4 linked regions of the Drosophila melanogaster genome follow. The protein of the gene in region 3 purifies or fractionates together with the protein of the main gene of each other region. This does not show direct contact. Each region holds a gene or a part of one and is shown on either strand. Other genes may lie near its edges.

Evidence for each region.
Region 1: the proteins of sog (region 3) and Hip14 purify together in Drosophila melanogaster (affinity purification with western blotting; one study listed by BioGRID). This does not show direct contact.
Region 2: the proteins of sog (region 3) and scw purify together in Drosophila melanogaster (affinity purification with western blotting; 2 studies listed by BioGRID). This does not show direct contact.
Region 4: the proteins of sog (region 3) and dpp purify together in Drosophila melanogaster (affinity purification with western blotting; 4 studies listed by BioGRID). This does not show direct contact.

The regions. Positions count from the first base shown.
Region 1 is NT_037436.4:15,985,997-15,995,695, reverse strand, and holds Hip14 (Huntingtin-interacting protein 14), read right to left. Parts: upstream 7,461-9,699; 5' UTR 7,072-7,460; coding exon 6,508-7,071; intron 6,311-6,507; coding exon 5,636-6,310; intron 5,568-5,635; coding exon 5,288-5,567; intron 5,234-5,287; coding exon 4,839-5,233; coding exon of another isoform or gene 4,785-4,838; 3' UTR 3,232-4,784; downstream 1-3,231. Other genes in the region: hzg (herzog), read left to right, coding at 1-86, 157-338, 408-561, 630-965; PolD1 (DNA polymerase delta subunit 1), read left to right, coding at 7,978-8,033, 8,088-9,699. UniProt on the Drosophila melanogaster protein: Probable palmitoyltransferase which is required for photoreceptor synaptic transmission and for the correct expression and localization of palmitoylated protein Csp and synaptosomal-associated protein Snap25. Probably palmitoylates Csp.
Region 2 is NT_033779.5:19,697,028-19,704,190, forward strand, and holds scw (screw), read right to left. Parts: upstream 3,942-7,163; 5' UTR 3,896-3,941; coding exon 2,693-3,895; 3' UTR 2,352-2,692; downstream 1-2,351. Other genes in the region: Lar (Leukocyte-antigen-related-like), read left to right, coding at 4,197-4,433, 4,495-4,641, 4,723-4,998, 5,300-5,323. UniProt on the Drosophila melanogaster protein: Part of the signal that specifies dorsal cell fates in the embryo. Acts together with dpp.
Region 3 is NC_004354.4:15,629,185-15,637,005, reverse strand, and holds the start of sog (short gastrulation), read left to right. Parts: upstream 1-3,571; 5' UTR 3,572-4,197; intron 4,198-7,821. UniProt on the Drosophila melanogaster protein: Putative negative growth factor. Antagonist of dpp, a protein involved in patterning the dorsal region and in the development of the neuroectoderm; dpp inhibition is enhanced by tsg.
Region 4 is NT_033779.5:2,425,302-2,433,140, reverse strand, and holds the start of dpp (decapentaplegic), read right to left. Parts: upstream 4,770-7,839; 5' UTR 4,091-4,769; intron 1-4,090. UniProt on the Drosophila melanogaster protein: Required during oogenesis for eggshell patterning and dorsal/ventral patterning of the embryo.

The sequences.
Region 1 (9,699 bases), on a different chromosome or scaffold from region 3:
TACTACCTCAGGTTAGGCTTACCGATATGCACAGAAAGTGCATGGTGATCGATTTGGATGAGACCCTAGTGCACAGTAGTTTTAAGGTGAGTACATCTGGTTAATGCCACCCGTATTGCTCATATTCATATTTGATCTTATTTTTTATTTTGCCAGCCCATACCGAATGCTGATTTCATAGTGCCCGTGGAGATCGATGGAACCGTACATCAGGTGTACGTCCTGAAGCGACCGCACGTGGACGAGTTTCTGCAGAAGATGGGCGAACTATACGAGTGCGTTCTGTTCACAGCATCACTAGCCAAATACGCAGATCCCGTCGCCGATCTGTTAGACAAGTGAGTTGAAATAGGAATATATAATATTGAATTTAGTCATTAAAATACGACTTACATTCGTGCTTGCAGGTGGAATGTGTTTCGTGCAAGACTGTTTAGGGAATCATGCGTTTATTACAGGGGTAATTACATTAAGGATCTGAATCGTCTGGGGCGGGACCTTCAGAAGATTGTCATTGTCGACAATTCACCGGCCAGTTATATCTTTCATCCAGACAATGCAGTAAGTAGATTAAAAAACAGTGCATAATATAAAAACCCCCCTTCTAAACAATTTATTCCTCATTAAAGGTTCCTGTTAAATCCTGGTTTGACGATGTCACCGACTGCGAACTGCGCGAACTGATCCCGCTCTTTGAGAAGCTTAGCAAAGTTGATTCCGTCTACTCGGTGCTCTGCAATTCGAACCAGCCGCTGAACAATCAGACAAACCAGCAGCAGCATCCCCAGGAACTGCAGCAGGCGCCGAACCAGCTGCATCAGCAGCTCCAACAGCAGCAACAACAACAGACCATCTCTGCCACGACAGTTATTACCCAGGCAACCACATTGTCTGCTCCGACCATGTTGAACCAGCAGCAGACAAGTCCGCCCAGCCCACAAAGCGAGTTGCTGCAAAAGACGTAACATCAGTGGGAACTAATGTTTATAAATATATGATAAATTGTTTACATATTACAAGACCAAGCAAGCCGATAAGCAAGCAAACAAAGCATCCCTATCCCAAGCAGTTCACTCAGTACCCCAGGACGAATGGTAATGGGTCGACGAGATGAAATCAACTACCAATTGCTATCAACTATAATCCCCAGATCGACACCTAGGCCTAAGCATAAGTTTTATATGATATACATAATTTTTACAGAACCCAATTTACACGGCACATTTGTTATTTATTCTTGTTTTGCTCTAAACCAATTATAATAATTATTATTTTTTTGTGTTTTTTCTAAACAACTGCTTATTGCTTACTGCGTTTTGCGGTACCCCAACTAGGGGGTATATTAAATCCAAGCATAAGCCTCTATTTTTACCCAATAATCATAACTCTGTAGACGTATTTAATGGTAAACCAATTGAGCAAGCAAAAGATTTAAATGCATAAAACAAAAATGATAACTATACATATGAACAGAGAGATAAAATCAAATTCAAAATAGCTATATTTATATATATTTTTTATTAAAAAAACAAGAAAACAAAAAGAAATATGAGTAAATGTGGAGAAGAAAAAATGAAAAGAAAAGAGAAAACTAAAAACAATATATATAATACGTGTACTAAAACAAATTTATATATACATACATACATGGATATATATATATATATATTTAAGGCATGTGTCTACACATGTTTCTAGCACTTAGGCATGTATAATATTTCGTATATTTATTAAAGAATTAAGTTTAAGCGCGGTCTCCCACTCACGCTTGATCGCTGGCACTGGCAAATGTCATAGTTGGTATATCGGGTTTGTCGCATAAATGGCTTCATCGTATCACATTCTGGTTTCCTGAAATGTCTCTCAGTCGTGAGTGGGATTGGGCCGCGCTTAAAGCAGCCAAGTTGCATTGCAAGAGGGTGAAAATGGGCTATCTGTAAGCCACTTTGTAAAGCATCTAAAAGTCTGCGGCGCGTCCGTAGTTATAATATATAAAGATTCGCTTATTCTGCGCTTATCGATGGTCCAAAGTCGGCAGGTTCCATTCGACCCTATTCTGTACACACATTCAGTCCAATCTGGTATTACGATTAGCCCACTGTCCTAGCGCAAATTCTAATTGCCGGTCTTTGGAAACTCGGCCAGGCGCAGTCGTAAAACATTGTATTAGGCTTAATGAAAAATTATACATCTAAATATTTTAACCGATTTACGTTAATTTCCCCCTATTATCAAGTGCGCTTATGAAACGCATTGCAATATATATATATATATATATTTACGTCTAATTTAACCCTTCTTCGACATGAACTTCACCTTCGGCCGCGTTCTGTATTCTGTGTTGTGCATGTGAAAATGGGAAACGAATGTAAACGATGAAACACCTATAGCTTCTTTCAACTCCGACCAAATATCAATCATTATATAGTATATATATATACTGAGCTCAAGCTGGCCACGCCGAAATCCCACCTGATAAATATATTATATAGACAAAAGACGCTATTGCTATCCGAAACACATACACGATTCGCTCACAGACCAGTCCAGACAGAACTCTTTTTATCTTTTTCTCTATGTGTAATCAATGTCTTGTATTTCTCAACTAACTTTTGCAACCATTCTTTTATTTAGTGCATAAGCCATTGTGTTTCTAATTTGCTTAGACTAAAAATAATAATATTGAAAGGATACAAAAATTGGCACGTTGCAAACGCGCGCGATATTCTCATATTTTTTGCAATCAAGCAAGTAAATTATACATAATGCTAAAATAATATATGTATTGTATATCATTTACACCCGCTGCAAAAGTCTAAGGCAAATGCTAAAAATTAATTGCAACTAATCACGAAATTTAAATAGCAGTAAATCGCAAGAACTCGTTTAAATTTCCTACTTTTAAATGTTTTACTTTTTGTAAAAGCAAAACGAAAACCAATCGATAAACCATTCACTTAATTTATCATAAAAGGGAAGAAATTCTATTTTTTAAAGTGAGCCTATTAATGTAATGCATCAATGTCGACAAAAAAGAAAAAAAAAATAATAAAAACAAAAAATGAAATTTAAAATCTACAATATTATGTCATCAAACAATAAAAACACATTAAAACCCAATCTGAAACGCCTTTAATTTGTGTTAAGCCCATTAGAATCCGTTTAATGATGGACAAACTCGAGCTTTTTGAATACGGAATAAAGGTCTATTTATTATTTTAATTTGTTTTTAACGCACATTGTTACACATACACATACACCTCGTCGAGCTCACAATTTCCATCGTTCTACACACTATTTAATACATTCATTTATATATCTTTAGTTAAATATATTTGTCTTGAACTTAGTCGCTAAACTAAAGATGTAGGCAATGGGGCTGATTTGCTTTTTTTGCTTTATTAAATAGGCCAAAAACACTTAGTTCATAAGTTAATATGCGCAATGCTTCGTAGGGGCTTGCTTGATGTTAGATCTTGTTCGGTTTATATAGTCTTTTGAAAGCTTTCATCTTCTAGCAGTGTGAGCGAAAGGAATATACAAAATGGATTTGAAACATATAACTTCATAGCAAATCCTTCATCCGCACATCCGTTTGTATAATCTCAAATACAAAATACGTCGAAAAAGTGGTGTTTTTTCTGTTTTATCAATATTTCGTACAGTACATAGTTGAAAAGGTTTGCTTAGCGTTTGTTTGTATTAAAATGGTTTTGTAGACTTCGTTTGAATTAATATTTAAATGCATTTAAGTAACGTGTTACAATTACAACATATTTTATTCATTGCTATGCGGTTTGTTCTCAGGTTGCTGAAATTCCTTTTACATTATAATTAGATCATTTCATAGCTATATGGGTTTATATAAATATTCAATTTATTTATCGAATTTGTGGCTGTAGTTGCACTTTAACATTTTACTTAAATAATTTTCTGACTAGACTAGTGCATAATTAGAATTGGATCGCATTTAGAATTAATTCATTATTGATTTAAGTATGCTAGTGCTTGGGATCAATCGATTAAATTGTTGTCTTCGCTGCTTTTGCCACGTTAATTAGTGATATTTGAAAAGTCTTTGCGTGCCGTTCCCGAAGCGAAGTAGTCGATCCTAGAGAGCTGTCGGCTGTGAAGGTTGCGTAGTCCTGAATTTTCGGAACTATACACTTCTCCATAAGATAAGGCTCCAATGAGCAGCCCGCCTAGGACGAACTTCGCTCAGAACCCACACACCTCCGTGCAAATCTCTTAAAACTTTGACAGTTTACTTTTGGTGTTTCCTTTTGTTGTGTGCGCTTTACAATTTGTTAATATCTCAGTAGGTGAATTAGAATCTTGAATATTGCACGCTTAAACAAACTCTGGTTTGATTATGTTTGCATTGTTAAATTTGTTCGGTGTTCATTTGCTTACGTTTGCATTTAGGTTTTTGGTATACAAATACTTTGAAGGACAAAAAGGTTTTGTGTACTTTCGGCTTATGATCGAAGAGTAAGAAATACGCAGAAATATACAGAGTAATTACAGTAATACATTCATAATATGTACGTTAGTGAAGGGTAGCCACAATGGGCCTGGACCCCAACTCGTCCATCCGATATCGGTCAGCGATGACGCTTCTGTCTTGGTTGTATTGAATTCTTGTTTGCGAATCGCAGTTTATATATATTTTTGCAGCAGATCAGCGGGGACCAATTAAAATGGTTGCGAAAATGAAACGAATTGGATTTTTGGGAAGGAGAAAAAAGCAGTAGCGGACGTTCTAAAGCGTTTCGTGTTGGTTGTTAAACATGCGCGATGGGCATCTGAAGCGTCTTCGCATCCCGATAGGTCTTATCCTACACATACTGGTGGTCGCCAGCCATCCCATCTGGACAATCCACGCTCAGCAGCGGCTCCTTTTCGATGGTCTGATGCGTTTGCGCATCGTAGTCGTAGTAGTTCATCCAGTCCACTCGCTTGGGCTGCACCAATCCGAAGCAGCTGCACTCGAGGAAGTCCACGAGGTTCTGGATGGGACCACGTGTGAACGGGCTGTGGCCGCCCTTGGCCTGGAAGTGGCGATACCGTCCCCGGTTCATGCGCTCATTCGTTGTCATGCCCAAGCAAATCACCTGATATGTCTGGCAGATCGTCAACAGGATGACCCAGGACATGTGCAGCAGGGCGTTACCCATTACCCAGCCCACCCAGGCATCGCAGTTGCCAATGGCCCGCATGGCACCGAGAAAGTCTGTTGGCGATCGCAATTTAAGAAGGATTCTAAACGCTCAATTGTTAAACTCACCATCGAATCGCACATTGCATTGATTCACGTAGTACTTGGAGCCTCCGTACAGCATCCAGGCGCACATAATCAGCAACATCCAGAGGAATCCCATAAAGTAACTGTGGTTCTTCAGCCCGATGCAGTTGCCCACCCAGGGGCAGTGGTGATCAAACCTCGCTACACAGCGATCACACACGGAGCAGTGCTTTGAGCGGATGGGCCGGCGCACCAAGCAGCCAGAGCAGAAGGAGGCGGGCTCAAAGCCGATTCCACCCCGCTCCGACAACTCAATGATGGTCTATGAGGTTATAAATAAGAAGTATATCGCATAAGTTAGTGGCGAGTTAATAGAAAACAGACACCTACCTTAAATCGCTGCTCTCTGGTTGGTCGAATGATACCGGGATCTCCCTTCCACGACTTAAGGAAGCACACCCACAATAGCAGCGAGGAGATCAGGAAGCAAACGGTGGCCGTAAACGAAACGGCATCGTCGATGTACATTAGCCAGGTGACATAGAACCAGGCCTTGGTGGCCAGGTAAACACTCAGCGGCAGCAGGGCCATCAGGTGCTCATCGAATAGTGCTTTGCCGATCGTATGGAATATGGAATACAAGCAGCCCAACAGGAAAAACTTAATAATGTACAGCGTGTTCACGGTGAACACGATGCCAGCCAGATAGAAGGCGGTGAAGGGGCAGGCCACCATGGACCACCACCTCAGGCGTTTGTCATGCCGCAGCTTGGAGAGCAGCGAGCGCCGTTGCTGCGAAGTAAGTGCCGCCTCTTTCACGCGGTCCATTACCTTCGCTCCTATCCAAATGGCTCCCGTCTGGGATTCTAGCATGGAGAGCGGTGTCTCACCCCGCAGATTGGGTACATCCAACGAGGCCTTTGACTTGAGCACGAGTGTGGAAATGGCCGTGGCATTGCGGGCCAGGATAGCCCAATGCAGGGCCGTGTTTCCATGCGTATAATCAACCATGGCGGGGTTCGCTCCAAGGGTCAGCAGCAAGCGCACTGGATCCAGTGCGCAAACCTTAAAAGAAAGAGTTTATAAGTAGTGACACACTTATTGAATATTAACTTCTTATCTCACATTCCACTGAACTTTTTTGAATTTCAAGTACTTCCCAAAAATTGGAAAAATTCTTTTTGTGGATAAATGTACAATTCTATATGTACATATATGATATTTGTACCCCCGTAAAAATCGGGCTTTAAAACCAAGCTTACCTTCCATGCTGCCCACATCAGCGCCGTCATTCCGCCTCGATCCTGGAGATCCGGGTCCACGCCCTTGGCTATGAAATAGGCCACTAGAGCGGTGTGGGCGAACTGGGCGGCGATGTGTATGCAGGAGCAACCCTCCGCATCCCTGATTCTCGGATCTGCACCAGCGGCCATTAGCAGAACAACGGCGCCGAGATGTCCCTGTCGAGTGGCCCAGTGCAGGGGCGTGGCATTAAGTTCGCCGCCCACGGCATCCACGGTGGCGCCCTTCTCGAGGAAGTACCGGATGATGTCCCTACGATTGTTAATGGCCGCCCAATGAAGCAGGGTGACCGTTTCGCTGTCCGGCTGATTGACATCCCAGCCGGATTCAACCAGCTCCCGTACTCGGGCAATGGCACCATACTGGGTGGCCTTAACGATATCGAAGCCACTGTAATCTGGCTCCACGGGCGCGGTGGGGGGTTGTTGGGCGATCAGCGCCGACTGTCGCTCGTTGTCTGGCTGCTGACCGGTTCCCGGGACACAGGAGCCCGTAGTGGCCGCCTGGCAGGCACTCTGGTACATCGCTGGCTTCTCTCGGTCGCTGTTCCCTTGGGGTCGTCCAAACGTGATTCACACTGCGCTGAGGTGCTCGTCGTAACATCAACCGTCCATCCCCCTCCTTCCAGCGGGCGAGCGAGCGAGAGGGGTGAGCGGATAGAGAGAGAGGGAGAGAGCAGGAGAGACACCCCCACCAGGAACAGTTTCGAGGAATTCACAGGTTTGTCATTTTCACCGGAGTTTCACACGGCAGCTGCTTTCTCCACAGTGCTCTAGCACTCGTTTCTCGGCAGGATCTGCTGGTGACGACACGGCTATTGCGGCTATCAGTTTAATGCGTTTTACCTGCCAATTTCGGAGGACTAGAAGCAATTTTGGTGGTACAATGCAAGCTGATAGCACTGAATGTGTGGTGCGACTTCCAACACTATCGCGGGGAATTTCGCAACTTGTTTGGTATTTTTAAGAAGAGGTGTGGTATTTTTATAGCAAATATTAAAAAAATAAATTATTTTCATTTTTGCTTATTAATGTAGTTACTCGCTGGTTTTCAATCCCCATTCAAAACTTTAATTTTGTGTTTTCATTTTTATCTTATATTCGTATTAATATAAATGAAAATGTTGACGTAAAATTTTGGGGAGGAAATTAATTAATAATGTTTGGAATTGAAAAATTATTTCCCTTTATCTTCAGGTCATAGAAATAAGTGATCTTAATAACCTTCACTGATATTAGTAAGTTAACATTTTAAAGTCTCCTTTTTTGGTTCATAGTTTTTGAAATATTTGGAGCACTAAAAAAGTTTCACAAAGTAGTTACATCTAGCTGCGGTCACTCTAACGTGCCTACCAACAAAAGCGCGCCTTATTTTTTGGCATCGCTCTTGTCTTATGGTTTTGCAAGTAACATTTCACCAAGGTACCCAGAATGGATGGCAAGCGCAAGTTTAATGGAACCTCCAATGGACATGCCAAGAAGCCCAGGTGAGTAACCCTTTGAATGGCCTAATACGAGTCAATATAAAATTGTTCACGCAGGAATCCTGATGACGATGAGGAAATGGGCTTTGAGGCGGAGCTGGCCGCCTTCGAGAACTCCGAGGACATGGACCAGACTCTGCTAATGGGCGATGGACCCGAGAACCAAACGACCAGTGAGCGTTGGTCCCGTCCGCCGCCCCCAGAACTAGATCCCTCCAAGCACAACTTGGAGTTTCAGCAGCTGGACGTGGAAAACTATTTGGGACAGCCGTTGCCGGGAATGCCAGGTGCCCAAATAGGACCCGTGCCGGTGGTCCGAATGTTTGGTGTCACCATGGAGGGTAACTCTGTGTGCTGCCATGTGCATGGTTTCTGTCCATACTTCTACATAGAGGCGCCCAGTCAATTCGAGGAGCACCATTGCGAGAAACTACAAAAAGCCTTGGATCAAAAGGTTATTGCCGATATTCGCAACAACAAAGATAATGTCCAGGAGGCTGTGCTTATGGTGGAACTGGTGGAGAAGCTGAACATCCATGGATACAATGGAGACAAGAAGCAGAGGTACATCAAAATATCGGTTACGCTGCCCAGATTTGTGGCTGCGGCTTCACGTCTCCTCAAAAAGGAAGTGATCATGTCGGAGATTGACTTCCAGGACTGTCGCGCCTTTGAGAATAACATAGACTTTGACATTCGCTTCATGGTGGACACTGATGTGGTAGGTTGCAATTGGATAGAGCTTCCCATGGGTCACTGGCGAATAAGGAACAGTCACAGCAAGCCGTTGCCTGAATCCCGCTGCCAGATTGAAGTAGACGTGGCCTTCGACAGATTTATATCCCACGAGCCCGAAGGTGAATGGTCCAAGGTGGCTCCCTTCCGGATCCTCTCCTTTGATATTGAATGCGCTGGTCGCAAAGGAATATTTCCGGAAGCCAAAATAGATCCAGTCATCCAGATAGCCAATATGGTGATAAGGCAGGGAGAACGAGAACCTTTCATTAGGAATGTCTTTACCCTAAATGAATGCGCTCCAATCATAGGCAGCCAGGTGTTGTGCCACGACAAGGAGACCCAGATGCTGGACAAGTGGTCTGCCTTTGTCCGGGAAGTTGACCCGGATATTTTGACCGGATATAATATCAACAACTTTGACTTCCCCTATTTGCTTAACCGAGCAGCTCACTTGAAGGTCAGGAACTTTGAGTATTTGGGCAGGATTAAGAACATTCGTTCGGTGATCAAGGAACAGATGTTGCAGTCGAAGCAGATGGGTCGCAGGGAAAACCAGTACGTTAATTTTGAGGGTAGAGTTCCCTTCGATCTCCTCTTTGTCCTGCTGCGCGACTACAAACTACGCTCGTACACTCTCAACGCTGTGAGCTATCACTTTCTGCAGGAGCAAAAGGAGGATGTGCATCATAGCATTATCACAGATCTTCAGAATGGAGACGAGCAGACACGTCGACGTTTGGCCATGTACTGCCTAAAGGATGCCTACTTACCGCTTAGATTGCTGGAAAAGTTAATGGCCATTGTTAACTACATGGAGATGGCCAGGGTGACGGGTGTGCCACTGGAGTCCTTGCTCACCCGCGGACAACAGATAAAGGTTTTAAGTCAATTGCTGCGCAAGGCCAAAACCAAGGGATTCATCATGCCCTCG
Region 2 (7,163 bases), on a different chromosome or scaffold from region 3:
CCTCGAATATTGTCAGCAAGGCTGATGGCGCGAATAGCGTTTGTTTTGGATCGCTCAACTACACATGTCAGCGGGAAACGAGAGGGGATCGATTATTTATAAAAGTTACACCATTTAATGCTTGTTTTGAATGGTTCAGCGGGCCCTAAACAATAGGCCGGCCTGTTGGGGAAATGCTGGCTGCAGCGGAAGTGCAACAAGCGTAATAAATGTTCCGCCATGCAGGCCAAATAGCATGCAATAAATTTCGCAACAATCAACTTTGATGCATGTTATAGGTGAGCCGGCAGTGGCAGCGCGAATAAAAGCACAAAGCGTCCTTTTCACAGCGAAAACAAACCTAAAACACAGCTTCAATGGGCGCTGCACTAAAAACCGCACAGCAATCTGCCTATTTTTTATCCCCCCCCCCCCCACACATGACCCCCACAGCTGCCCCGTTTGTTTTGTTGCTATCAAACAAAAAATGACATCCATAGTAAAACGGAAAGGTACATAAAATAGACACAATAAACATGGCTTTAGTGCGAACTGAGCGATTTTGCAACATTTAACGCTGTTCTGCACTTTTTGCTCAATATTCGAAGGGCACGAGCGTAGTCAAAGATTCTTTTCAGGGGGGGTTAAGCAAAGAAACAATTTAGATATAATATAGATAAAAATTAGTTGATGTTATATGCAGGCTTTTAATAAATTAGAAATTTGTTTACTCCGCAAAATGTTCCCATTTAAAATACCCTTTTTCGAGACGCCTGGCGTCTATATTTTTTTTATGCCCTGCAGCTTCTGAAGCCATTAAAATGATTCACTCAACTGTAGTCGATTGTACTCCCATATTTGTTTATTGACACGGTCTATTTATTATTCCTTTTAAATGGTAACTACACAACCCTTTGCCAAGGGATATTAAACCGGCACAAATTTGCAATGTGCAACATATGCCATAGGCTTTATGGAACAAATGGTAATTACTTCTTTTCAAAACTTGCTTGGGGTAACTGGTAAATTATTTAATTAAAATTCATTAAACATTCGAATATGATTGCGAGCAGGAAGATATATACGCTGTTCTTTTGAAGAAGAATGAACGTTTTACACTCGATCGCAATGTTAAGCTCAGTATCATATTAAAAGAAATATGATTTTTTAATTTAAGCTTTCCGTTTAAGCGCGATCAATACTGCTTGAATATGCGCAAAATGCAGCAATAAATAATTAAACGATAATATTGCATATGAAAAACTCTTGTTTCGCAAATTAATTGTCATATTTCATGCAGATTTTCAACTTGCTCACCCACACACACACACACACACATTCTCTGTGTGAGTGCACGTGTGCATATTGAATTGAGGTTGTTCGTTAATTGTGTGCGAGAGAAAATTGAATATCGAACTCAATATGATTAATTTCGCACACACACACACACACAGTAACAGTCGGCTTTGGAGTTTAAACGCTTAGAAATTCACACGCTGTTAACGAATCTCTTATGGTTCATTTAAAATGCTAATATGATTTTGCGAAAAGTATGAAATGAATTTGCAAAATAAATTATAAACCGAGTAAAACAAATCATGTGATGTCAACTATGTCCCTCTGAATCATCGTGTGAAATCATAGTTATTGGTCAATTAAAAAGCGCCATAACATACGCATTTGGGCCACAACTTAATGGTTTTGGCCAGATCCAAAATGCCAATGGCTATCAAAAATATTGTTTGCCGGAAAAACGCATTCGTAACTGTGTTGATTTAAAAGCCACTGGATTTTTGGGGGAAGCATAACAACACCGAAGGGAAGTGGATTTTGTTTGCGTAAAATTCATTTTGTCTACTCATCGCCCTCTCGTGCTTCATTGTTTATTAGTCATATAAATATAATGTCAATGTGAAGGCATTTTATGACCCTATCCCCCCCCCCCCACCACAACCACCACTCCAAACATCAAAAATACTCCTCTGGCGTTTCCGCCGTATGTTTGTCATCCACATTAGCGTAATATGCCGGAAAAAGGGAGCCTCGATTTTTAATAGACGTGTGCGGGTGTGTAATTTCTCATTGGAGGAATTGCAACAACTTCGGGGGATGGCGGTGACTTGTCGTAAAATTTATATGGCTTTTAAAATCATATAAAAAGTGTTAATTTTCCATGTGTTGCTTCTCATGGCCGCCGTGGCATCCGCATGCCAAAGTCGAGTGGATGGATTCCGTGCATAAAGGTGAATTGAGGACCTTTTTATGGGGCAAGGATAATGTGGGTTGCCTATCAAAGTGATGGGAGATAAGCAAACATCATTTGACTTTCAAATTTATTGATAAATCTAAGATCTTACGAGTCTGTTACGGTTAAACCCCTGTGCCCATTACGAAAGCAGGTCATAAAAGAGCGTAACAAGTAGAGGTTGTGCTTAATAAGCATAAAAGTCTTGCAGCACAATATTCAAATAGGCTTAGGTTCTCGTAAGTGTAGCAACTAGTTGGGTCTTGAGTTTAATGAAGAGTTTTAGTAACTTACTTAAGCATCGATGGATATTTTTGAAAGCCTTTTTAAACAGTTGATATGCGAACACGGCCTAGGTTTAAAACACAAATATGTCAGTTTTAGAAGTACTTTTAGTTGTATTCATCTTATTTAAACTTATAACTACACCATGACTATGTACATCACAAACGAAATAGGCAATTAAATCTAATGACATCCGCACTCCTTGGCCACTGCCTTTTGGTATTTGGTCAGGTCGATGATGTCCTCATTGAGATACCGCAGAATAGTGATGGCACCCAAAACTGTGGGCACACAGCAGGGCTTGGGCAGATGCGGCTGCTTCAGGTGCATCAGGGTTTGGACGATGGCGTGGTTGGTGGCATTCATTTTGGTGCCCAGCGGGAAGTTGCAACCGCCGCCGCAGAAATAGGCCTCGAACTTTTTGGGCGCTATCACCCAGTTGTGCATGTGCAGCTCCTTGAAATCCACAGTGAAGTTAAGGCGCTCGCAGGACTGCGGTGGTCTGTACAGATCCACGGGCGGCGGCGGAGGAGGTGGTGGCGAACCACCACCGGCCCTTCGCTTCTCGAGATCTCTCTTGAAACGAAGTTTCTGTATTTTGACCAGCAGCTCGGGGCCGTTGAAATAGCCGACAATAAAGGGCTCTAAACTGGTGCGGCTGGCCTGTGGTGTCACCAATCCAGCTGCAAAGGTGCTCAGCTGGGAATCGCCAATTGATATCCTTAGCTCATTTCGACGTTGCAGTCCCTTATTGTGTAACCAATACCGCAGCGTATCTGTCAAATTGAATTCCAGCCAGCCACGTTGGCTGCTCGTAGTATTCACAGAGCCCAGGATGCGATAGGAAAAGTCCTGGCGATTGTCCAGTTTTCGGTACACGGACACGGTAAAGTTCGCCCTTCTGTCCACCAGACTTGGTTGCTTGTATATCCTGAGCATGGCCTGAACCAAACTCAAATCCACTGGCACATCGTTGGTGTTGAAGGTAATGTGCATATCAAGCTCGTTGTCCAGTTGCTCGGGTTTCAAGCGGCTCGAAAAGGTAAGGATGCTGTTGCAACTGGCAATCTCCTGTCGATCCTCGTTGGAAATCAGGATGTCATCGTCCAGCGAGCGTTTGTGGCGCTGATGCAGGACCTCTTTGGGCTCTTGGTCCTCGCTAATCTCGTTGTAAACTTCGAGAAGGAATTTCGATGCTGAATTGTGGAGATTGGGCTCCGCCTGTCGTCTCGGACGGTCACCCAAATCCAGGATATCAATCATCTCCATTTGCTCGCTCAAAGGACGCTTCTGGTATATGGGCATCTCGATGTGATTATTGGTGGTCACATATGTGGTGGCACTTGCAGCATAAAAGAGGCTGGTTAAAAAAAACACATTCAACATTTTGTGTTGTTCTCATAGAGAGACTCGAACGAATACTGACTTCCTTGGTCATAGAATAGTATCTTATATATGGAAAACAGGTAGTTCAATTGCATCAGTGGGCAACTGCATTTGGATGGATTGTAAAATAAAGCTATATAAAGGGTTAACCAACCCATTGGTCAGGTACAGGCTGAAATTTTGGCAGCTGTTCTAGAAATAAATATCAGGTATATTTCCAATAAGCATAGATTCTTAAGTATGACCTAAGTTGTATGAATTTTCAAATAAATCTTAACTATATCGCTCTTATTTCTTTTAGGCTTCCTGCAAATCGAAAACAGTCGCGAGGAGGATCAGGGCAAATACGAGTGTGTGGCTGAGAACTCAATGGGCACGGAGCACTCGAAGGCCACCAACTTATATGTGAAAGTCCGTCGTGTTCCGCCCACCTTTTCCCGCCCACCAGAGACCATCAGCGAGGTGATGTTGGGATCTAATCTGAATCTATCCTGCATTGCCGTCGGCTCACCCATGCCGCATGTCAAGTGGATGAAGGGTATGTCAAATGGTTGTAGAATATGGTCTTTCAATACTCAATTCCTATCCTTTTTTTTCAGGCTCCGAAGATCTTACACCCGAGAATGAGATGCCAATCGGACGAAATGTCCTGCAGCTGATCAATATCCAGGAGAGCGCCAACTACACTTGCATAGCGGCCTCCACTTTGGGCCAAATCGATTCCGTTTCGGTGGTTAAAGTGCAATGTAAGTGGAGTGGTCTTGGAGTGCGATGTACTTACATGGGAAACTGATAATCGTAATAACACGACCTGGTGTCTTTCACAGCTCTGCCCACCGCACCCACCGATGTGCAAATCTCCGAGGTGACCGCCACTTCGGTGCGTCTGGAGTGGTCGTACAAGGGTCCCGAGGACTTGCAATATTACGTGATCCAGTACAAGCCGAAGAACGCCAACCAGGCCTTCAGCGAGATAAGCGGCATCATCACCATGTACTATGTGGTCCGTGCCCTGAGTCCCTACACGGAGTACGAGTTCTACGTGATAGCCGTGAACAATATTGGACGCGGACCGCCCTCGGCACCAGCGACATGTACCACCGGTGAGACAAGTGAGTATCGCGGATGTGGGGCTATGGATGCCCCGCTTTATTTTCGGAGGACATTTTACTAACTGCTGCCCTCTTCTCTCGCCTCGCTATCTTTCACATGCTGCACAAAAGGACTTTTAACCAATTTCATTTTGAATTTAGAGTGCGCTTAGATCCGTTTTTATTTGCCTTGGTCCATTATGTCGGCAATCGTACTAACCCTTCTTGAAAATGTCTATTTGCCATCTCCCTCCCTCTCTCTTTCTTCCGCTCTCTCTCTCTCTGTCATTCTCACATGCTTTTGCCTTCTCAGGCGATTTCTCATTCGGTGGCACAAGTAAGTATCCTTGGCAAACAAAATTTTATGGTTGGCCAAAAATTGGCAAAACAATTTCAATAACAATTGTTGAGCAGCACAAATCCGACCCGAAAAATGTGAAAAGGGTATAAAAAGTAAGAAAAAAGTACAAAAAGTAAAAAAAAAGGAGCAAAGAAAGCGGAATAACAAGTAGCTAGATAGAATCAAAGGTAAATGCAATGTTAAAAAAATCGTTGCATACGCAGCTGCGATCCAGAACCATGCGTCCTGGCGATATCCTGACGTATGCGCGTAAGGGGGGGGAGGGGGTGTGTGCGGGGTGGCGCCCCAGCTGGGGTATGGGTGATATCCTCCCCCGTAAATCCCATAAAGTTTGCATTGTTATGCGTTCGTTTGGATGCTGATGGTTGTGCTGGTGTGTGTGTGTGTTGGGTGCATGCAACGCTGTTTTAGTCCTGGCAATTCCCGCGTAAGCGTACGCTTGTCTGACATGCCTTTCCGGCCACTTCTGTTTTTTCTGGCGCCTCTCACAGGGTATCATAATGTGTCCCAGCCCGGCTAGGAGCCCTGTATCACTGGCCTAAAACTATACAGAATGGTATATACAAAGTTCTGTGAACCTACTTGATCATTAAACTAAAGTCTAACATAGCTATCTTTCAGTCAGCTATTATATTTATTTACTCAATTCATAATAATCCCAGATTATTCTGAGACATTGCTTTGTATACTAAAGTAGTCTGAAACTAATTTTCTTAAGAAACCCCATATCAAAGGGTATTTCTCAATTCGATCAGCTAGCGTCTTCGAACAACAGCAGCAGCTGCAGTTGCATTTTTACCAGCAGATCCAAGAGCGTGTCGTACAGAAGTTGGAAACTTTTATTGCCGCAATTATGCTTATCGCTTGCCCAATATCGTTTCGAAATAATATTCCGATGGCCACGTTTATGGGCGCTTAAAGCTGGGCTCCGGATCCCACAGGACGAGCATCAGCAGGTCAACGTAATGCTTAACACGTGTCACTGGCTTAGGTAGCAGCTGAGCCAAGTGGGTAATCACAGGGTTTTCTCTCGGCCAGCAAGGCGAGGACTGCATTAGCTGAAATGGGATGAAACGTAGGTTGGTGCCAACTAAAGCAGCTGTGTCCGTAAACATACGTTCTAAATTGTCAAAATGTTAACAATTCGTAGTTTAAACTAAATATGAGGACGTATGTTTTCCCATTGAATCAAGTATCTGTTACTTCTCCATTGAAATTGTAAAATCCCAAATGAGAAGACTTTACTCGTTGAGTTTTTGTAAGAAACTGATTTTATTTGGAAATATCTTCGGTTTAAATAGGTGACATGAGAATCGCATCTTAAAGTAAATGGCCTACGCAGAGGCCTACGTAAATAGTCCCCGCCTTATCGAGGTCCCACGCTCGGGCACATCTGCCTATCTTGAGCGGCGAGGACCTTATCTGTGGTCTCCCACTAAGGGACTATTTTAGGAGGCGGGGAACGATCTCAAGTGACTGACTCATGTAGTGTGCACTTAAATTACATGTTTTTGAGCAATGCACCCATGTCGCCTTAGATAACAAAATCCTAAATATAATTTATCGCTCTCGATTCATTTACATAAGATATGAACGGAGCCCAAAATTGTAAGTCTTTAAATATATTCGTGTTCATGTGTGAACATTCTGCCAAAGGGCCAGCAAAGCTGAGATGTACATTAGTATATTAGTTGCATTTATAACAGTAGTGGACTGTATTTATTTGATATATGTTCATTTATTTTGCAACTAAGATTTCAATGGGCCTAGTTTTTCTGGCTTTTAATTTTATTGGATTACAATTATGGTTTATATT
Region 3 (7,821 bases):
GCGTATACGCCATGTCGTACTCGCACTCGCACTCGAATGTTGCGCATACGCCGCGTATGCCCGATTAGCGAACTAGTATTTAAAATACATAAATAATTGGCCAACAATTTGCGCTGTCTGCGCACACTGATTTCGTTGATTGGGCCATCCTCCTCCTACTCCTCTGCCTCCTTCTCAACCTCCTTCATCTCGTCCCGTCCCCGTTTTTCTAGTTTTGATTTTGGTTCTGGTTCGGCATTGTTTTGTTTTTTGCTTAATTTTTTGATTTTTTTTCTTTTTGTATTTGTTTTTAGCCCTGTTATCTCGACGATATATCTACGGTGGCCGGTGGTCGATGCTCGATGTTGTTCGAATGTTCGGTTTCTGGCTGAGATGCTCACTGTGCCGTCTGGCCGGCCGGCCAATGTGGCATTGTCTTAATTATCTGCGGATTTCGTACTCAGGCCGTGACTATCTATTGCCGCCGCCGTGGCTTGACTCATCGCCATCATCATCACCTCGATTCGCATCTAGCATCTAGTATCCTCCTCATCTTCGTCTGCATCCTCGTCCACACATATCCACATCCACATCGTCGTCATGCCCATTCCTCGTTCGCATTCCCATTACCAGTCTCATCATCATTGTCACACGGTAAGAATTTAGATGGTTTTGGAAATTGTGTCAATGGGCTTAAATGTAATTAGATGTTAAAACATCTGAAAATATAATAAAGTAAAAATATAAGATAAATTATAAACATTTTAAATAGCATTTTAGTTAACTCCATATTGAAATTAATATTAATCTTTGGCAATTATGAGTTAAGATAACGAAGCCGCTTTTATGGTTTCTTTTATAAAAGTTTTACCATTCAAGATGTGCTGTAATCCGAATTTGCCAAGAATTAGCCATTGTTTGTTATTAACTACTATTGTTTCTTTTTTTTTAGCTCATTTTGATGAAATGTTTGCCGTGCAGTGGAAAGAGCAGCGGCTACACAATCAACTTCTTCTATTCTTCTATTTTTCTCTGGCAAGATCACGCGCCTCTATGCGATCGCTGATAAAATTCTATTTTTTTTTAGCCCGTCTGTGTTTTTTTGTTCTTGTTATTTTTTCAACTTTTTTGCGGATTTATTGTGTTTATATTGTTTTTTTTTTTTGACAGCATTGCCGCCGAACTGTGGCCATAAACATTTGCATTCGCTTGGATTGCATTTATTTATTGAATTTGCATCATGTGCTGGGTTCAATTTATAGGTAGCTATATTCGCTATTTATATATATAAATGAAATATATATATATATATATATATGTATATCTGTTTATAAGGATAAGCCCCGCACGTGCCCCTGACTTTATGATCGCGTGCTGTTTGTTTGCCCGTCGCTCTTTGTTTGTTTCCTTTTCCGCCGGCTTGTTTGCTTACCTTGCCAACTTGTTTGCCCCCCTTTTGTATTGCCCCACCCCTCTTCCCCCACCTCCTATTGTGGCCCCCCTTGGACCAACGCCCATGCCAAAAGGCACTAATTGCCGCCGCATTTGCAGCTGATTTGGCGCTAAGCGAATGCGAGCTGCCAGGCAAATATTTATGGGGTCATTCCCGTCTCGTGTCAGCCGCTGGCCAAAAAGCCAAAACAACTAAAACAGCTTCAATATCAGCTAGCTAGTATGGCCCTGAAGATTCCAACCGAGTTGCTAATTTAGTAAATAACAAATTTGATAACAGTGCGAGCAACCTGGTTTATCTACTAATTGTTAGCCAAGCTAAGTGGCAGGGATTGGGCAAATTTTATTGCAAAAACTGATATAAAAAAGGTGAAGCCTTTTTGTCAATTAAATATGTCATTTGCTTTTTATATTTGCACATCTTATGGTGCCTGAAAATATTTTCATATGTAATTATTGAACATCTATTTCTTAGCAAGCTGAGGAGAATTATATCAGCAATGTCAAAATTATAATAATAATATTTTTACAGAGTATGCCAGTTTGTCTCGAAAGCTTGAAGTGCGATTTTGAATATATTCAGTACAATCAATTAGTAGCTTATGACACATTTTATATATATTATGAATATTTATAATATATTTATTTCTATTCAATGCACTTTTGTGCCAACGGAGCATTGCCCAATTTCCATCGAAATCGCAGCCATTTTCGAGCTTCTCGCCAATTTCCATCACGTTGCAGTCTCGATCGCTTCGAAATATATATGTAAGTTGGAAATTCAGAAACTCAGAAAAACAGAAATTCAAAAAGTCGGGACTGAGACTTTGACGTTCGATCGTGACAGAATATGAATTGAAAGGGAAACCAGATTGTTAGCACTCGACTATGGGTATAGAGATGGTAGAGGTACTGGGCATGTCCATAAGGTTGGATACCGTTGTGATAGTGTGTGTATTCATAGTTACACACATTATCGAGCCAGTGAAAATGTTCTACACAACTTTGCTATGCTAGTGACGACTATTTTTAGACGTCCAGCACCACAGCACTTTGTTGGCAAAAATGCAGTAACAAAAATAAATAACTTGGCCAACAGTTAGTTAGTTGTTGTTTGCCTCGCCCCGCCGCACTTTTTTTTTTTGATGGATCATCGCCGTCGTGACGTCAGCAAATGTTGTTTTGTTCGCTGCACCGAAGGCGCAAAAATATTCGGCATATTTGTGTTGATCTCTAGCCGTCAAGCGTCATGAAACGTAATGGATACAGCTCCTTCCGCCTGGCCACATCCACGGCATTGTGGGCTGTCCTAGGTTAGTTTTCACTGTACTCGAGTCGAGTGGGCGAGGCCAAACGCCTCACTAGCCGCCAATCCCGGGCACGATTGGGCTGCCAAGAAGCTTTTGGCTTCCATGGGAAGACAGCGAAAGCCTTTAAAATGCCAAGCTGCACTGGGAAAAAAAAAACAATGAAGTAATGTAATTGGTCATGAACGAAGCTTTTGTAAATATACGCATTAAGCGATTTCTTTAAAATATATATTTTTTTTTACTTATGTAATAAAACTATTTTAAACTGTTTTTTAAAGCTTATAAGTGAAAATAAGTTCCTAATTATTAGAAAACTCAAAAGTATTCATTATTCATTACTTTTTTATCCTGAAAAGTTGAAAAGGGTTTGCAAATAAAATGAATATGATGAGATATTATGATAAATCACCTTTAGTTTCTAATAAAGCTACCAAAAAAGCGTTCTAAAGATATCCCTCGGAACCAAATGTATCTGAAAGTCGTAATATCTTAGATCCTAACGTAATGCTCTTGGAAATGGCTTTCTGTGGCTACACATACACATACACATGGCTACACAGCGATTTGTCGCCGCCGTGGAGAGGAAAGAAGAGGAAAGGAGAGGAAGGGAGAGGAGAGTCCGCTTGGAGCTGTCTATGTCTATTTTGCGAAAGGGGGAGATGGTAAGGTGAGCGATGCCGGCGAGAGTGGGTGGCGACATTGGGAGCGGAGAGTGATGGCACCAGAGAGAGAGAGAGAGAGAGAGGGAGATCGAGTGAGAGAGCGAACCGCTATGTCTAGATCTAGGTCTATATGATTATATGCTGAAAACTTCAGTTTGTCAAAGATCGCGACGACCGAACGAACGACGCTAGAGAAACGCGCACCGAAATCGATGACCAATCCAAACGATAACGATTGCCAGCCCGCAGGAGTCATTTCGAAAATTGCGCGCGCGTTTTTGGCGACGTATTGCATATAAATCATATGTATATGTCCGCATATACATATAAACGAAACGAACATATAGAACATATATTTCCATATCTCGATATTCTATTTCATTGTTCATTGTTGCCCCTATTTTTTTTTTCTTGTGAAACGTATGTATGTGCGCGCGTCTGTGGAATGGTGCAATTACAGTCGTAGTTATTGGTTTTTAATGAACCTCTTAAATTGCCATTGAGGAACGTGAAAAGTGCCCGAAAGCCCGAAACGGAAATTATACTTTACACTCATGATTATTAGTTGTGGAAATTGCAGCTTAAATCGCCATTAATCGACACACACATATGGGCGTGGGTGAATCGTTAAATAGTACTCATAGTGATTGCACTGCTACACTGCGTTTCGGCATGTTAAGTCTGGCCGTTTTGAGAAGCAATAACTATTTAACCGAATTCTTCTATTGCCCTTTCAATAACTAAATAACACACAGCGACTTGGCAACGAAATGCTAGCTCTAGAACAGATGAAGGTAATGATAAGAGTGTCTCAACAAACAATACAATCCTGAAACGCACTGTACCTGCAACCTGAAAGCTCTTGCCCCTCTGGATTATAAGTCCGTCACTTTCGGTTTTAATGATCGCATTGAAATGGAATGTCATCGACCAATTTCAATTCTAATTCCATTCCGATTCCGATTCCGACCCAATATCGTCGAGATCGAGGCGACACACGCCCCAAAAACGAGACAATTACCCAGGAATGGGGCATGATTTCTTTTATTATTACTGTGTTTAGATCGAATCTGACGCCAAAAGGGCGACCTAAAAAAAAAAAAAAAAAAAAAACCAAGACAAGAAAAAACGTAATCACAAAGAATGGGAAAAATCAATCGAACATCGAACATTCGATGCGGACCAGTTGCAGAACGGCAAAGGGGGCAGATCGGTGGATAGCTGGGATAGATAGACAGATATATACATAGATATATAGATAGATAGATCGATCGATCGATCGGGCGATCGGGCGATCGGGCGGTCGGGCGAATGATGAAATTTCCAGAGCGTTTCAATAGCAACCGGCAACAGAAAGAAAAAGCAACACCGACCGACAACGAACCATTTACAATTCCAATCGAATGGCAATTGTTGCCGACTTGCAGCATGATTCAAATCGAGGGCGTGACAGAGGAAATGGGGCGGGGGGTAAATACCTAGATTACCGTACTCGATGACGCAGCCCAGGTATGTGTAGGTACTCTCGATCGCTTGAAAGTCGACAGATACTCGCAGTATCTAGCGACAGTGATGAAGAGTTTAACTGCGCTCGGAAAATCCATCATTATCATGCCGCTGATATGATAACCAACCATTGAAATGGCTAAGCAACAATCTGTTAGTAAGATTGTATGGTGTTTTATTTCGATCATTAAGCTAAACTAAAACTTCCATCACTTAGTTCAAACTTTAGCTTGTCTCACGAATCCCATTCCGTCCATCAATTGATCAAACAATCGATCGCCGGATCGTTTGAGTTTGTTTGATCGTTCGATGATCGCGACAACAAGAAGAAGACGACCAAAATTTAACGATGTTGGCCAGTTGGCTAACTGCGGTTTTACTGCCACTTTACGTGCTGCTGTTTTGTCTGGCAAACAAAACATTCGCACACACATGACACACACACGGCACACATGACGTATACGCGATATTTTTGGCCTGCTCTCGCACAGAAACAGAAAGACATAGTGCGAGTGCGAGTGGGACGGGTGGACTGGCGAAGGGAGAAAGAGCTACACGGAATCTCTGTTGCTAGGGTGGCAGTTTGTATGGGGGGTTAGTCAGCTTATAAATAATGGAATATCATCTAGGTGCTTTCTGAGTGCCGCAAACTATGGTGAACTTTCGTACGATGGAACCTCCGGAAAATTACTCAATCGAATCGCACACAAATTTCCCGGAAATCTTATATTTCATTTAATGCTTTTAAGATTTTTTTAAGAACTTTGAACTTAGTAGTTGGTCTCCTTTCAACCTATTCACTTTTAATTTGTCCACTGTTTCTAACTGATTCACACAGATGTCTCAAATGATTGGACCTTCTGGCTTCGATGACCATCAAATCAATTGCATGTGACTGCAGTGAAATAGTACTCAACCACACACGCATAAGTGCATATTTATGTAGTACACTTGAAGAAATTGCATTGAACAAATAATTACAAAAGGAAAAAATATTTTAGGCAGTACGATTTATGGAAAATGCAAATATTTCTAGATTGAAAAAAAAACTTACTTTTCAGCTGTTTTGGCTGTTTAAACTAATGAAACACACCAATATTGATCTTCAACGTCTCCGAACTGTTTTTCGAAATCAAGAAAAGAGAATTTTCTCTCAGTGTGCGCATACTTTCTGGCCTGTTATGCAGTCAAAAGCCGTCACTTTGCCGCTTCTGTTTCATTTGATGTCTTTCTGTGTGCGTTTGCCGTTCGCCATTTGCCATTTGCCATTTAAATGAATGCAGGCAATTTTGCGCTGGTGGCTGCTGTTTTTGCTGCTGTTGTGATTTGCTTTTGATTGGCATCTAATTTATGATTGACAGTTACATTAGAAACATCTCGGAACAGCAAACAATCAGAATCGGGCCTACCGCAAGATCTCGCCAAGGCATCGAAAAAGCATCGCCAGTTGAAGCATCGAAGAGCTGAGACCTTATGGTCGGATATCGACTTAGCTCACGGTTGTCAATCAAGCTATTAAATAATTTACAAACAAACAAACACACACGCGAACACACACATTACATACATATAAGCACACACACACAGCACGCACACATAGATGAGCAGCACACTGAGAATCGAATTTATGAACTAACATCTTGATTTACGTAGTCTTCGCTGGCTGAATGCGGTTTGAAGCTTTGACACCTTGACGGGCATTGTCAAAGAGTTTCACACTCAGCGGCACTCGCACACACCGGCTACTGTTCTATCGGATTACGCGGCGTATGCGCAATGTGGCCCGAACGAGAAGCGATCGAGTATCGAACTGCCAGTTAAGGCGGCAAGTGGAAAATGCAGTTTATCAGTTAGTCAGTAAGTCAGTCAGTCGCTTAGTCAGTTGGGCAGTTAGCCAGCTGGTCAGTTAGTCGCTAAGTCGGCTAGTCAGTCTGTCAGTTAGTCAGTTAGTCAGTTAGTTAGTTTGTCAGTTTGTCAGCCCCCACAGAACAAAGTTGTCTGCCCGATATAGGCCACAATGTGGGGCTGTAAACAAAACTTGAACACTCGACGGAGCACTGACATAACCGCTCTGCAATCGACTGATAAGAAACTACTATATAATGTATATAGATACATATTTATATATATACACATATATATATGGGCTTGCAATTGCCTGGTAGGTGGGTGCCGTAATATTAATTGCCAATGAACCGCGAATGGAAAGGGGGAAATGAATCTGTCAATGGAAATATTATTTTGATAATGAAGTAAGGATGGAGTATTTAATTATCAATTTTGGCCTTATTACTTAAATGTAGTATTAAATGTAATGCAGTAAATGTAAAGTAGAGAACCAAAAAGTTACTTTTAATAATTTTTTGGTGTTTTTATCTACACATTTTCTTTAATTTGGTTGCAAAGTCTTCCCAGTTAGTTCAACGTGACCTTCTGGCTCCCGCTTTTCTTTTTGGACCGTTCAAAGTACAACTTGGCCGGAAAACAATGAGAACACACACTTTTACCCAAAGGAAAATGCCCAACGAACATTTTCACTGGCATACAAAGTGTATTTTCCATCGCCTCGCTGAGTGCGCACAGATTGTTCAGATATACTGGGCGACTATATGGCAATATGGCTATATCTTTGCATGGACATACATAGATATAGATATGCTGTGTGTGTCATGTTGCTGCTATGCTGGCGACGCTGGCGCTGACGCTGGCGTCGACGTCGGCAGAGCTAGCTAAAACTACATAAATCAAAGGAAAAGCATTTTTCTGTTTTCTGTTTTCTGATCGTCTAGCTGAAAATTTGCTTTTGTTTTTCGATTCATTTATATTTCTCGTAGTCGTTTTTCTCTTTGCTTTTCTTTGCGATTGTTGATTGCTATCGTTGTTGCTATTGCAATGGCATTTTGTACGCATGT
Region 4 (7,839 bases), on a different chromosome or scaffold from region 3:
TTTATATAAATATATATAGGCGTATATAGAGAGTTTACTTTACTTTACCTAGAAAGATTAAACACAAGACGTATGTATGTAAATTATTCAGCACACATCACACAGCCTATAAAGTTGCAATTGCTTAGAAAACGGTTTATATATCATATAATGGTGTACTAAATCCTTAATCACCCTGTTCCAGAATGAGTGTGTTTGTGCCACTGGCACTTTCTTGGCCTGATAAGAGATTTGCATCAATGAAAATGGAGCACTTTGGAGTCGGAGACAAAAATGTGAATGCACCGCAGGATGTTGACTTTACGGCCACTCTGACTAACTGGAAAATCCCCCATTACGATAAGTATTATAACTAGAAATATATATATTTATTCTCACTGACCCACTGGGAGTTGTAAAACTGAAACTTCAATGCAGCTATTAAAATATGCACTTTATGGTTTGTTTGCGTTGCAATTATTTTTGTTGCTGCTGAGGTTTCCTTGAATTTTTGTGGTTGGCAACTAAGACATGTAAATCTTGTTATTGAATGCTTGCAAAGATCTGGATTTCGAATCTAGTTTACGCTTTTCGAATCCAACCGAAAGTGGTTTCAACTGCCGTATCCAGCTAACTGTGAAGCCGTCGTCCATAACTATCTCTCTTCCACCGATGATCATGATCACCACAACGTTGTAATTAAACAAACAAACAGTGGATAAAAACAGACCCAAGGAACGTGTTCTGTCGTCAAATGGGCGTGAAGTCTTTTGAAAATGGGAAGATCTTGAAAACCGAAATCTAAAGCCTAAGTTAAGCTTGCATACTATATATATATTTGCCACAGCTAAAGTATGAATGAATTGATATACAATTTGTTATCCATTTTGTTACTTTGCAAATGTAAAACCCCGAGAAAACAACGACCCCTAATCAATCCGCTTTGCGAATTTCCTGCTGTCCTACTTATCAAAATCCAAAACATATGTTTGAAGGAACCACAAGGCTCCTGCTATTCAATAGTACTTCAAACTAAGCTTTGTAACGAAGTCCACTGATTAGTGTCCCATTGCCAGTAGACTACAAAATACAGCCAAACAGAAATACATATATGAAAATAAGTGGCTGTTTATTATCGTTTCCCCAGAAGCTCGAAAAGCGATTTCAAGTTCGTTAAAACGAATTCGCCAGTGGCAACAGCTGACTTGCTGCCTTTGAAATGGCCAGTGGAATAAGTGGGAAAATTAAATTCAAACTGAAAAAACAAACGGAAAATATGTATGTTCGACGCATAACTGTAAATGTAAATGGTGTCCCTCCATTTGAGGCTTATCGAATAAAAATAACTCATAAATAAATAATTAGCATGAAATATGCGTATGTGTGTGTGTATATATATATGTGGCCCATGTGAGAGCGCCAAGTGATTTGAACTTTGAAGGCAAGACAAGTTGGGCTGAGTTATGAATTTATCTAAAATCACAGCATGTTGTCGTGGCTATTTCCCATTTGACAAGTGGTCTGGCCCAAGTGTCAGACATGATAAATCATATGCAATAAATGTATATCTGCGAAATTGAAATTGATACCGATACCGATGGCGTTATTTGGGCGAATCGCCGGGGCGGCGAGAAAGGCCGGGGCAAAAGTGAATTGGAAAAGTAACTCAAGTTCGCATATTAGGCATACGCCGCGTTGAACGCCGAGTGAAACTACGGCGCTTGGCATCTTCTGGACCGAAAAAAAAACCAGTATGGTCGGGTTCTCGAAGAAGATGACCTTATACAATATATTTTCGAGAGAGAATTTATAAAATAAAAAGCAAAATTGATCAGTTCTCGATTTGACAGACAGAAGACAGAAGATCGTTGCCAAATCGTGTCGTTTCGTTTGGCCACCTTGAAGCTAAGTTCATTCATCTTCGTTTAGCATAGAAGTTTAGCAGGTGATTGAGCTGGGCTCGCTCGACTTTTAAATAAAAATGTAAACTAATATTATTAGATAGTTGACATAGTCAGAATATTGATACATATTGGAATTGTTAGCTAGCGTTTCTTGCTATGATTATGATATAATAACACATAATTATAATTTAAGTTTGCACCTATCAAATCACACTTCTTGTGCAATCCAATTGGTTTTCCAGTCAAGGTGTATCCCATAAACCATAAACCCATCGAGCAGCAGCCAGCGATATCGGATATCGTTCTCGGCTGCCTTGAGGCGCCACATCAGGCGGAAATCTGGCATCGGAATGGCCCAAACGGTAGACTGAGGTGCAAAGTCCGGGCCAAAAGCACCTGAAGCATTAGTTGCAGTTGCAGTTGCCACCTGCTGCAGCCTCTTGTTCGAACACCCTCCCCCCCCCCACAATCTTTCGTGGGGCAATTCAAGTACAAGCGAATACCAATGGAAATATTTTTGTGGCTGTGTGTTGTTTGCATGGAAACGTGATAGCAAAAGTTGTTGCTGACCGGGCCAAGTTGTTGTTGCCGCTGTTGCTGGCCGCATCTGCTTGTGGAATTTATTTATCGTTAAGAAATGCGTGTAAAATAAGTGAAACTATTGGGAGTCTCAAGCCTCCAGAGACTGACCAGTTTCTTTCGGCGGCCAACGGGGGGGATGCGGTTGCTAATGCCACCACTTTTGATAAAAATGTTGGCCTAAGCCAGTTGTTGCTGCCTGCTGATGACCAGTAGCCACTTAACTTGGCCGAGAGCGGGGCGAAGCGGGCATGGGCAGCAAATTATTGCCGCATTGCTCAGTTGTTGTTATCAGCAACGTGATTTGCCAGGCCAAGATGAAGATTGAGATGGAGATGGTGATGGGATGGCATGGAAGTGGAAGCCAACTTCAACTTGGCTGCTTCATTGCGTGCTCACGATTTTTATTTCATTTTCGTCGAATTTCCGAAAGTGGTAGACCTTCATGGTCTCATCGTCAGCTGTTGCTATATCTGTGTAGCTATATCTCATTATATTGCTGCTCTGTCTTGCTGATGTGTTGCTTCTATGTAGCTGATGCTGCTGCTGCTGCTGCGGTTGCTTAGTTTTGTTATCGGGCTTTATTTCTGTACCTTTGCACATTTCGAAGCTATCAATTTCCCACCTAACCAACGGGCTTGCTGCGCCCTGCGAATGCAAATGCAAATCGCAGTTAATAAACTAATTGAGCCTAGTGGGGTGAACTTTGACACTGATTTAGTGCCCCCAGTCGCATTAGCAAGGCAAATCGAATAAATCGATATAGATACCGATTAAGATTTAGATTCAGATTTCGATGCTGATTCCGATCCCATGTGGGATGGCTTATGCAATCGTGATCGATCAAACCAAACCAAAGCAAAGCTAAGCGAAGCAAGCCCTGCCCAGCCACGCCCAGCCAGTCACATATAATTATTCAATTAGCCAAATGGCGTCATAAATTAACGAGTATATGGCATATGGTCAAAGGGTTTTTTACCATGGCCAATGTCAGTGTCAGCCGCTAATTGTGACTGGTGTGGAATGCCGTTAATTCAGTTCATCACTTGGCCCCCATGAATATGCAAGTGACACCCGATCTCCACATGTCTCTGCTGATAATGTCCGGGGTCCAGAGATAGAATTTCACTTTTTCCCCGGATACTGGCGTAAATCTGTCGAAACTTTATGCAGTGATATCAAGTTGGCGGAAGGGACTTATCTATTGGCAAACTTATTAAAGCAAACTAGATTTCCTCATAGTAATATAGATTTTTTAGGTGTCTTCATAAATGTAAATGCATAAAAGTGAAATGGTTGCAAAGTTTATCATTAGAAATCTAAACAGTGCTAAAGTCTCTGAAGAAAATGAACATAATATACTGCAATTGCTATTGTTTCAGAAATAATCCACTGACTTCTGAGTTACATGTATTTATTTCTTTCACATTTATATACATAAGTAATCAGCCAGTCTATATGCATTGTATTCATATGTATATGTGTATGTGACTCACGCATTGCACCCAGTTCCAGTTTTCCCAGTCAGCTGTTTAACAGCCGTTCAATTGATTCGATTGATCTCGAATTGGACACGCAGCCACCATGGCGTATGCGCATTATTTGCTAACACTCTCGGCTTGGCTTACCTGGTGCACCTGCTGCACGCCGCTCAGTTACGCTCCAAAATCCACAAATCCTTTGGCTGCAACTGCAACAACAACCAATTCTGGCAGTTCGCGAACGTCGCATACATTATACACTGGTTCGACTCGGATATCCACTCAAATACTTTCGACCTATCTATCTCGCTGTGGCTTCGATTCGATTCGATTCGACTTCGACTTCGATTTTGGCTTATGGAAATCACTGGCACTTCACATGTTTGCTGCTGACGATGGTGGCCAAGCTCAGACTTTGGCTATTTTCGATTTGGATTTGGCACACAGACACATCACTCACTCACACTGGCACACTCGCAAGAATGGCGATGGTTACGAATATATTATCTGATACCGAATCGGTATCAAAAATCGGAGAGGCTTTGGCTGGCTGACGAGCGATCGCGGAAACGAGAACGAGAAACGACGGGAGATATTTTCTGTTTTTTCTGTGGTTCTTCAGGCGCGACTATCAGCGTTTAACTCGGATTTACTTTATTTTATGGCCGCAGAAACCGCGAACGATTACAGAGCAGAAAAAAAGTGATTAGAGGCTGTATATTCGGTTGTAACCAGCGATCTTTCGCCTCGATTTGGCGACACTCTGTGGACGAACGAACGCGTTTTTCGGTTCCGTACAACGAGCGTTGAGCGCAAAAAACTGAATGAGCGTCCAAAGCGGCCGAGGCAAGGCAAACAGGCAGGCAGGCAAAAGCGATCCGGAGACGGAGCAGCAAAAGCAAAAGCAGAAGCAGAGCCGAGCAGCAGCAACAGCAACATCAAAGCAAAGCACAGCACAGCAGCAACAGCAACACAAGCAGCAACAGCAACACAAGCTAGTTAGTTAGTTTTGAGCTCGTAGTAGTGAGAGTCAATCGCACACACACTGCCGACCACGATGGCAAGTTGCTTAAGTCGCTCAAAGCGCCATTTAAGTTGAGTAATTAAAACAGGCAGTATGTGTGTGTGTGTGTGTGTGTGCGAGTGCGATTAATTATTAATCAAGCCAAAAAAACAACAAGCAACCGCTAAGGCAACAATAACAAACAAGCCAGACTCACAATTACAATATTTCAGCTCTCTCAGTCGCCGTCTTCAGTCCACAGTCTCCGGTCCACAGTCTACAGTCAACACAGAGTCTTCGGTCCTCAGTCTTTAGTGTTCAGTCTTCTGTCTTCTGTCTCAGCTGCGATATCTTGACTTTCTTCAAGTCTCTCTTCGAGCCAAAGCCACAGAGCTGTTACACATTTGACTTTTCGGCGCTGCCGCAACTGGTTCGGTTTATTTTTGGCTCTAAATCTCGGACTAAGTCGCGGACTTCTCGAGACTGCAGCGCTGCTAATGCAAATCTAAATTGATTGCAAAATGCTTAGAGTCCCGAGCAGACAATCTTTCGAGTCGATCGGCGTTGCCGGATTGTTCGGCTTGTTCGAGTTATAGGAGCTAGATCGTTTTGAGATATGCCAAAGTGAGAGTTTAATGAAATCGAAGCACAAAAGTCAGGCTCTGCAGATAACACACACATGAGCTCCGTTTGACTCATCGATCTATTTAATATTTTTAAAAATTTTGTTTGTCCTTCAAAATGTTTTATTTGTTATTTAGGCCTTGATACTATGATTCCCCAAGCCTTACTCACCATATCAATCATACGCCTCGTGTGCCCATCTGGCAACGCTAGCTGCCCAAAATCCATGCAGCAAACTCAATTGATGCCGCTGATCTGGTTGTTGTTCTTGCCGCTGATGTAATTAAAATATTGCACTTGTTACTTTTACCAGCGGCTGTTCTGTCTCTTTCCCACAGCCTTTCTTCCCGTATATTGTGCTTGCCTCAGGAACACAAGTGCAACAAAACAAGCAGCCAAGGAGCAGAAAAAGCACAACAAGCACGCTGACAACATCGACTTCATCGTTCGCCGTGTGTCGTGTATTAAAACTTGTTCATTGGAATTTTCTAATAAATCAATAAACGCAGACAACACAGCGCAGTGCGGCGGGGGGCTCCAAGGGGGGATCCAACGGGGGCTCCACAGAGGGGACTTCGGGGGGCCAGCGGCATCTTGGCACACAGCTGGCGGCATCGGCGGACCGACGGACAGATTGCCGCACGCATCTCGCAGATTGCGCATTTTATAAATAGCTGCCTCATTTTTTTTCTATTTTTTAAGGTTATGGAAAATTTTAGTTGTTGTTATTATGATTTCTTGCTATTTTCCTTTCCAACTCGATCAGCCAATCGCGATTGTAGGCTATGGCCAAGCGGCAGCATTGACAACACTTTCACACAGTCGATGCACCCAGAGAAATATAGATATTCAAATCAATTACAATTCCATTATGTAATGAAAATGTTGTAAAGTAAGGAATAACATCCTTACAACATAACGAAAGATTATGGGAAACAAGTACGCACTTTGTAAAAATGCCTGCCTATTACCTGATTAGCTAAATTGCACTTCATTTCTCTGCGTGTAAAATAGTCGCTTAGCCGTCAGTATTTCCGTAAATAAAGCGCTTGGGAAGTGGCAATTAAGTTAACTGTGGGCTGGCCACAACAATCAGGTAAACGCCATGAAATGTACGCCAATCGATTGGCGTTTTGCACATTTATTTATCTATATTTTCTATAAGTAACGATCGCTTCCTATTCTTTTTCGAATTGCCATAACGCTGGCACTTCGATGCGGTAATAAAGGTGAAGACTTGATTTTTAGTGCGTTTATCGCGGAGGCAACAATGTTGCCACTAAATTTGCCATGTTCCAGCCCGATATGCTAATAGGTCTAATAGCTTTCGATTTGGCCCGCTTTACATGCGACGAGTCCGTTCGGCACATTCTAAATGTAAATAAAATGGAAATTCCTTAGAGTGGCACCAGCAGCAGCAGCAACAGGCGCAAAAAATGAAAAAAATCGGAGTGGAGGGGCAAAAACTTGTAGAACAGGAGGAGGCACTTGTTGAGAACTTGGCTGCCTTGTTAAACGAGCCTGCAACACCCAGCAGCAGCAGCAGCAGCAGGAGCAACAACAGCAACAATAAACAATGTTGCAATGCTTAATTATTTCAGCGGCAAGGAATTCCTTGGCGCAAACTTGAACTGCTTCTGGACTATGGATGTTGCATGTTGCTGCTGCTGCTGCAGCAACTCGATTGCGCTGCCTTACACTTGAGGTCGTCTGCTGGCTGGATTTCAGTTCTCTGCCTTTCCACTTTTCCACAGGTAGCCAGAGCGAACTGCAGTCCTCAATCTCAATCTCAGTCACGTTGGTCAACGGCACCGATGCGTCTGTGGCCAAGTCCCTTTGCCCAGGTTGCTGTTGCGGTCTGCCGCACCTATTTGTAATGCATTAATGGCCCAGAGCGCGGGGGCAAAGAAGCCAAGAGCTTGGAAAAGAGCCGATTGACATTAAGCTGCCCATTCGGCATATGGGAAGATCAGTGCTTTTGATAAATGGCAAGTAGCAGCCCGAAATTATTAATGCCAACATCAACATCGGTTAGACATAATTGTTGCGATGAGCATCGGTACTCGAGTGTTGCAAGATCGGAAAAGGTTTGTGAGGAGCTAAGAGCTTTGTGGAAACCTTTTAAAATTGATGGCATTGTTAGATGCATTTTTAAAGACTTGCTTGAAAGAGAAATCAATTTCTATAACTTCTACTCAATGGAGTACTTAAACAGGGATTGAAAGCATTTCTGACCTATAAAGTATTACTATGGTATGATTATATGATT